2 linked regions of the Rattus norvegicus genome follow. The protein of the gene in region 1 purifies or fractionates together with the protein of each later gene. This does not show direct contact. Links are inferred from orthologs where the notes say so. Each region holds a gene or a part of one and is shown on either strand. Other genes may lie near its edges. The genes, in order: Cdc25b and Fbxw11.

What was found.
Region 2: the proteins of Cdc25b (region 1) and Fbxw11 purify together in Homo sapiens (affinity purification with mass spectrometry; 14 studies listed by BioGRID and IntAct, counting the BioPlex papers as one, with this or other methods). This does not show direct contact. The link is inferred for Rattus norvegicus from reciprocal best matches to the Homo sapiens genes CDC25B and FBXW11.

The regions. Positions count from the first base shown.
Region 1 is NC_086021.1:138,866,642-138,870,450, reverse strand, and holds the end of Cdc25b (M-phase inducer phosphatase 2), read right to left. Parts: intron 3,724-3,809; coding exon 3,631-3,723; intron 3,200-3,630; coding exon 3,137-3,199; intron 2,976-3,136; coding exon 2,877-2,975; intron 2,691-2,876; coding exon 2,557-2,690; intron 1,765-2,556; coding exon 1,653-1,764; intron 1,499-1,652; coding exon 1,358-1,498; 3' UTR 164-1,357; downstream 1-163. UniProt on the Homo sapiens protein: Tyrosine protein phosphatase which functions as a dosage-dependent inducer of mitotic progression. Directly dephosphorylates CDK1 and stimulates its kinase activity.
Region 2 is NC_086028.1:17,735,825-17,740,125, forward strand, and holds the start of Fbxw11 (F-box/WD repeat-containing protein 11), read left to right. Parts: upstream 1-1,372; 5' UTR 1,373-1,516; coding exon 1,517-1,561; intron 1,562-4,301.

The sequences.
Region 1 (3,809 bases):
TTCAAAAAAACCAGAGAGCAGGGAAAACTTGAGAAGAGAGCATGAGGTATAAGGTCCCTCTCCTCCAGAGAGTCTTTCTACCTCCACTGGTCTGTCTTCACCCCCATCCTACCATCCAGTCTGCTATGGCCTGGTCAGCAGCTCCGCATAAACGAACAGATTATTCAACTTGCTCAGTGCTTTATTGAACCAAGGCCCCAACAGAGGATGCATTGGGGGCCTTCCAGCATGACCTTTTCATATGTAGATTCTGAACCCAAAAGTTGCTTCTTCCTCCCTCCCCTATGACAATATTTCTTTAATATTTCCAAATGCTAAGTGTAAAGACTTTGTACACACACACACACACACACACACACACACACACACACACACACACTCCTGCCATAGGCCATCATGCTTACCAAAATACTTCACTCGATTTGTGTGCATACATGTGTACAAGGCACTGTGCATCCATGACCATCCAACAAAGGGCCTAGACTCTGTCACTAGTACAGCAACACGGAAAAACCATGCATACTCAGGACCAGATATGGAAAGAAGGACAGAGAGGGACAGGGAGGGACAGAGAAGGACCAAAAAGTGAAGCTCAGTGACTGGTTCATTGCCCAGCAACAAGTGCTGACCAGCGAGGCTCTAGGGTTCACAGCAGTGAGGATGGGGCTCCCAGAGGCTCCTGAATCAGGCCTTTGCTCTAGCTCTGGGGGTCTTAAAGGAAAAGATCCCTTTGTGGGCTAACAAAAGCCAAGCCTAATGAGTACATGATATTTGAATCTCTAGTCCCCAGCTGTACAAGGGAGCCTCCCCAGCTGTCAGTGTGTCCTGGGACACGCTAAGTGAGACAGACGAAAATGAAAGCTATGGGTAAGACGACAACAGGAAAAGTAAGCACTTATGCTTCCAATGGAGGAATCTGTGCAGAGGCCAGGAGAGGAGAGCAGACACAGCCCTGTGCAGCAGTGTAGCGTCCTGCATCCAGGCTACCCAAGAAGCTACTGTGCTCATCTTAAAGGGCTGAGGCTCTCCCTGCGAAGGGGTAAGACAAGGAGTCAACACAAACAAGGAAAAAGGAGATTGTAAAAGGGCTCTCATTGAACACAAAGGACTTCCTCTTAGCTGGTATTCACCCATTGGTTCAGCTCTTTAAGATGGGATCAGTACCAAGATACAGAAAATTAGTGGAGTGAGACAGGAAAATTGAGGACAGGGACAGACAGATGTGACACCACACCATCCCCCCAACCCCCTATAGCACCTGAGGCCTCTAGCAAGTAGGTGGCCGCATAGGCCCATGGGACCCACTGGCTCGCAAGCCTCCTGAGGTAAGGATGGTGGCAGGACTGAGGCTGGCTCGTCACTGGTCTTGCAGCCTGCTACAGAGTTCCCTCCTGCTCCGTTCCCCAGCCCAGCTGCGTGTCTTGAGGCGGAAGTTCCTCAGCTCATCCCGGAAAGCTGCATGGTTCATGGGTCGGTAGTCCTGGGGCTCACAAAAGTTCTAGGGGATGAGAAGATGAGAAGAGTCCATCAGTATGGGAGAAAGAGTAAGTTCTGGGGGCTGGGGGTGGGGGTATGGGTAGGGCCTATAGCCTAGTTGGGTCCTGTTCCTACAGTCCACGATGGGAGAGCTGTGACCATCCCACCCATGGTACCGGATGCTGCGGGAAGAACTCCTTGTAGCCGCCTTTGAGGATGTACATCTCAGGGTAGTACAGGCTGGGATAGTCGTTAGCTGCACGGTCCCGTTCCCTGATGAAGCGGCACCTGGAGTATCATGGGAGGTGGTTCAGGGCAGGTCGCATGCCGGAAAGAGACCATGCCCTGTACACACTGCATTAAGAGCCCCCACGTGCACAGACTTCTCAGCACAGGCATGTCACCTGCTAGGCAAGACTGGTTACTAGGTAGCAGACACTGGGTACAGCAACATAGAAAAACCACATATACTCCAGGGTCTCCTGGATCAGAGGTGGTAAGGACTCAAGGGAAGATGGGAAGGGAGGATCGGAAAGATCAAAAAAGTGAAGCTCCGTGACTGGTCCATTGCCCAGCAAGAATCATATGAGAAAACTGGAACCCTGTGCTAGAGGGGTGAAGTTCGTGTATAGGGAATGGGAAGGAGATTCTGGTCCGCTGAGACAGATGCTAACAGCTGCCAGGTGGAGCTGGTGGCCACCCTGGACCAGGAGGCAGAAGAATAACCATGAACACCGGGACAGAGGAAAGACGGCTGAAGGAAAGCAATGGACCCCAGTGGTCGTCAGCACAGTAGCAGGGTTCCAAGTGCTTGAGTGTCACAGTATCCTCAGATTTTAAGGATGCTACTGTACTTGGCACTACGTTTTGTGGGTATGCAGCAACGGACCGAAGACGGTCTGATGATGTGGGTGGAAGGAAGACAATGGTAAGATACGTCGTCTACAACAGGAGAGCTGAGGTCAGCTCTAAACTATCACATGCAGCAAGATGCTCTGGCACTCAGTACCAGGCAAAGAAAGCCGAGGGTGGGCCCCGGCTGGCCACTGACCACAAGGATGGGACAGAGCTAGGACTCACATCCGTGGTCCACGCTCAGATGAGAATTCACAGTGGAAAATGAGGATGATTCTCTTGTCCAGGTTACAAGGCGTGATGGGATGCTTCAGCAGAAAGGTCTCGGCATCCGGTTCCAGGGGCAAGTTCACAGCATTCTGTCAGAGGATCTGGGGGTCAAGCTGAAGCCTGCACCATGGCCCTTCTTGTTCAGTTCCCAGGTAAGTAACCCCACCTCTTGCTGAGCAGAAATCCTCCCCATAGGAAATTCACCATGGAAGGCTATTCATCTTCTCGGCAAGGAATCTGAATGGAGGGCCTGGCCTTACCAGCACCCGTCTCACCTTGATATGCCCGCCTTCATACTCATAGGGGTATCTGCAGTCCACAATTACAAACTTCTCCACGATGTTGCTGAACTTGCCTGTCAACAGGGCCACCATCTGTAGGAGGCCATCAGGGTTGGTGCCAGCAGGTGAGACTGTAGTCAAGGTTTTCCCTCTCTCTTCCGATAGTCTATACATGCAGCCCATCCCCAGAGGAAGACAAGAGCCAAGAGAAGGTGGTCCCCAATGCACCTGGAGAGTGGCTCAACCCTGCTTACAGTTTCTGGTGAGATGTACTTGAGGTCTTGGTGTTTGCCATCCACAGTCTGCAGGAGGAAGGCCTGAAGGGAGGGATGAGGCAGAGTCAGGGAAACACATTGAGACACAGAGACTGGAAGGACAGAGGCAACACCGGCCTCAGCCTTCAGATTCAGCTGAGTGAAACCTCTGGGGGCCTGCACCCAGGGAACAACCTTCTGAGGGTAAAAGAGGAAGGAAAAGCCCTAGACCTTCTTGCTTCCTGCTCTTGGGTTTGAAAGCCGAAGGCTGAGGCAGGAGATTGCATACCAGAGATTGATTTGGAAATGTTTTTCGAGGATGAGATGCCTGGACAGATTTGAGGTGGCATCGGAAGGGGACCCAGAGGGAAGAGTCTGCATGAGAACAAGAATGAAAAGACACAGAGGGAAGGGGGGACCTCTGGGGACAGATGGGTCCTGCATTAGGGCTCCAGAGCGGGTGAAAGAAGCCTCCTGAAGCCCTAGAATGCTACCTTAGAGTAATCTCCAATCAGGCCACGGTGGTCACTGTCCAGGATGCTCTCAATCTCGTGACACAGGGACTTTGAGCGGAAGACCCGGGCCTTCTGGAAAGTAAGGCAGACGGAGGCCAGGGTGAGGGAAGAGACTGCCTCTCAGTGCTGTTTGGTTGAGACCTCCTTCCCCTGCCACC
Region 2 (4,301 bases), on another chromosome or scaffold:
TGAAACACACTTGAGAAGCAGGAAAGCTTCTCAAGTCACTGCTACTGTGAAGTGGGTTGGGTACAATGAGCCAGGCCCTCGAGATACACGATAATAGCCAGAGCTTGGTTTCTACAGCCAGATCTCCAGTAAAACATAAACAACTTCACAGACCATTAACATTAGACAAGGCCACAGAACGGCCTTATCTTATGGATCAAGACAAAAACAAGACCACTCCATAATTACTCGTGAACACAGATAAAACATGAACATTGTCTAAGCCCCTGACACACGGCTACAAGAGGCTGTCATCAATTACTGGATTAGTTTCAATCTAATATAACTTCCCATAGATAAGGTGTCCAACCTTATTACCCCCACTTCCTGGCAGTATGCGCTCCAGAGCCCCTTCAAATCCTTTTCTACATTACCTAATGTCTCTTACTGAGACGTCCATGATTCATCGTGGTGCATGTTCTCTTCTAGTTCAGCTAAAATAAACCCACCTTGTTTAACTACAGCGTATTCCTGGGGGTTTTTGGTTTGAGGGTACTGACAACTTGGAGGGCACACAGAGTTAAGAGGAAGAGTTCACTGGAAGTCTCTAGATGTGTTTCTTCACAGCATTTCTAACTCTTGGTGAATGTCTGCTGTCTTCCCATTAGAATTAAGCTTCACGAGAACAGAGGTCTCGCCTGTCATTTCCAGAGCTTAGGGCAGTACTAGTAGCAACGGAATGCTTAAAAATGTCTTCAAAATGATCAGCTTCTTTCTCATGGCTCAGCTACTTCCAGTGTAGCAGCTCTCCATACATCTGTTTCCCAACTCAAGCCTCCAAACTTTTCCTCTTGAGATGTCCATCTTCCCTTGGTTGGATCTTCGGGCTCACAGACCCCTCCCACACCTCCTGGTGCAACCTCGGACCCACCTGTCTCCACCATCTGTCCCTACCAAGTGTAATACACCGGGCGGCCGCGCAAGCACCTAGACGACCAGTGGGCACTGCAGACAACTACTGCGCATGTGCGGAAATCGGTCGCACCGCAAAGATCTCAGACAAGTGAGGAGTTGCCTCGGAGTTTCCGTCCGGGTCCGGGCAGCCACCCGCTGCCAGGAAGTCTGGAACGACCAACCGGAAGGAGACCGCGCGCGCGAGGATTTCTGGGACAAGTAGTCGCGGCGCTCGCGAGGCCCTATCCCGAGCAAGTCCTAGATACTCCAGATCTGCATGTCCCCGCACTCCCAGCCCTGCCCTCCCCTAGGTGCTCTCTCCCGTGGCGGAACCCTGGCAGAGTGGCCCGACGGCTTCTTGTTCCCATAAGGCTTAGCGATCCGCCGCGGTTGTTGGGAGTTGTAGTCTTCGCCGTGCGTCCTGCGTCCGCCGAGGGGGAGGGCGGAGCTGCCGGCGGCCCGGGCGGGCTGGCAGCTAGAGTGGGTGCCAGAGCTGCCTCCGCCGCCGCCGCTGCCACCGCCTCCTCCGCCCGGGCCGTTCGCTGCTGAGCGGAGAGAGCGAGGCGGGGCCGCCGGGGCCGCCATGGAGCCCGACTCGGTGATTGAAGACAAGACCATCGAGCTCATGGTGAGTGCGGCCCGCTGGCCTTCAGTTCTTCCGGCCGGCCGGCGGCCCGGGGGCCTGCCCACCTCGGCGTCCGCGCCAGGCCAGCCCTCGTTCCCCGTCGCCTGGGCCCGGCCGGCCCCCTGCTACGGCTCGCTGCTGACGCCTCGCGCTCTTGGGCCGGCCCGGCCTCCGCTCCCCGCGAACTCCCCCACCCCCTCCCCGCTCCTTGCCGGGCTCCGACCAGTCTCGGGCGCCCCTGCCTCGCTCCTGCCGGAGCCACCGCTCACTCTCGCCTTGCCATCACACTGTCTTTTTAGAAGGGGATTTCTTTTTCCCTTCCCTGGATTCCTCTGCCAGGCCTGCATCGCGCTTCCCAGCCCCGCTCAAGCCGAGGGTGATGGTGGTGGGAGGTTGTCCGAGACCAGTTGGAGCCGCTTCGGCCTCCGTAACCTAGGCTTAGGGGGTGGGGTGGCGGTGGGTCTCAGCACCCTCACCCCAAGCTACCGCTGTGTGGATGCCAGGATAGGCCCTTCAGGACTGGGATGTTGGGCATGCCCACGAGTCTGAGGCTGTAGGGGATAAGGGGCCTCTTTTCCGAGCCCCTGCGGTGTCAGGCTTCTTGGACAAAGGGTTTCCTACCCTGCCGTGAAGGATGTTTGTATAGCAGGGCCCTAGGTACTCAGAATTCCATCCCCCAGAAAAGGAAAACCATAACTTTATCATTTGGGAAATGAGAGGGGAGGGAGAAGAGGTCGCCTTCATCACTGCCACCCTCTTTTCTTTTAATAATAAAAAGCGGGACGGTGTGTGTGTGGGGGTGTTCTTGACCCACCGAGAAGCAGCGATCCCTTTACTGTTAGAAACCCTTGGTAGCCAGGTTGGTCAGGTCTTCCCGGACACCCCTAACCCATTTCTGACCTCAGACTTGGTGCTAGAAAGGTTTTTGGAAACAGGGCTGTGAGTGAATGGCTGGGAAAGTGAAGGATTTGCTTATTGGTGGAAGAAATAAAGTATGGCTGGTAGTACCTGCCAGTTTGAACGTGAGGGAAATCAAACTGGGCCCAGGAGAGTTGGGGACATAAGAAAGGCTTCTTCCTGTGAAAACCTTGACAGTTTCTTTGTATCTCTACTAATATCGTAACAACTAGTATCTGCCGCACAGTACTGAGGAAAGGTGAACGATCTACTGAACTTAGCAATGTGTTTTCCTCGTCAGAGTTTCTCCAGTGTGAAATGCTTATTGAGTCAGTGATTCCACTGGGTAGGGTTGGTGACATCAGAGCCACTTCCCCCATTTAGTGCTATAAATAATAAATGGTGATACTGAAAGTCTGTTGGATAGCCCATGGTTTTTGTGGATGATGTTGTCCAGGGAGCTAAGGTACACGTTTAAAATGGAAGTAATAGTAGCATAACTACAGAGTCTCATGTCTGCTGGACTCAGCACAATGTGCAGAACTGGATGGTTGAAAAATCAAACCTGGAAGTTTCTGGGGTGTGTGTGTGTGTGTGTGTGTGTGTGTGTGTGTGTGTGTGTTCACAGGGATTCTGTCACTTTATCTTCAGGTTCTGAGGACCTTTTTTCTTTTTCAGCATCCAATTGTCGGTTGTAACAGTTTGGGAAACTTTAGTAGTCCGTTATTTTGACAAAATGTCTTTAAAACGTGCCTTATGTATTAATGTGAATTCACACGTGCACCACAGTGGGCCTGTGGAGGTCAGAGGACCATGTTGTAAAGATTCTCTTCTGCTTTTACCTGGGTTCTGGGACTTGAACTCATTTCGTTCTGCATGTATGATCACGTGTCTTTGGTTGAGCCATCCTGATGACCTCTTTTTTGGCAAAGTGTCAAAGTATCTTCATGTATGAAGATACATGTTCCATCTTCTTAAAGACAAAACAGTATATCTGCTTTCATAATGACCAGTGCTTCATATGAAACATATTCACTTAAAACAACCAAAATGTCTTCTTTTTCAGGAGAGTTAGAAGAAATACAGTGTAATTAACCTCAGGCATGGTCTTTTAGCATATGACTAAAGAAATATTCTGGCCCACACTTACTGGTTTTCTAAGCTTATAACTGTTTTGTTTTGAGTAACTGTTAAGGTGCTGGGGTGCACCTTAGTGGTAGAGCACATGCTTCCTTAGTGTCCATAAAATCCTCATGGCTGGGTTAGACTGTGTGATATTGTTTGCCCTTACATTGAAGAGATGTCACCTAATGAAGACATAAAAGGGATTTAATGTAGGATTCTTAGAAATGTAATAAAAAAATGTGCCAGGCATGGTGGCACATGCTTTTAATCCCAGTTCTCAGGAAGCAGAGACAGGTGAATCTCTGTGAGTTAGTCAGCCTGGTCTACAAAGTGAGTTCCAGGACAACCAGAACTACACAGAGAAACCCTGTCTCTCAAAACCTAAACAAATAAATGAAATCCCCCAAACCAACCAAAACAAAGACCAAACAAACAAAAAAACCACAACCAACCAAAAGTCAGTCTCAAACCCCCTAAAGATTGTAGTGCCGAGGCCTGCATTGCTGGATCTGATTTACTGTCTATGCGTATGGCTCGTTGCTTGAGTCATTTATAAGGTGTGCAGCTACAGTTTTTCCAAATCGTTGGTACCTGTTTCTCACTATGATCAGTTTCAATTATAGTCAACATACCCTACTGTGTTATATTTTAAAATACTACTTTGAGAATGACTTCGTGTTGGTTGTGGAATACCAGTACACTACACCTGTTTATTATAGTA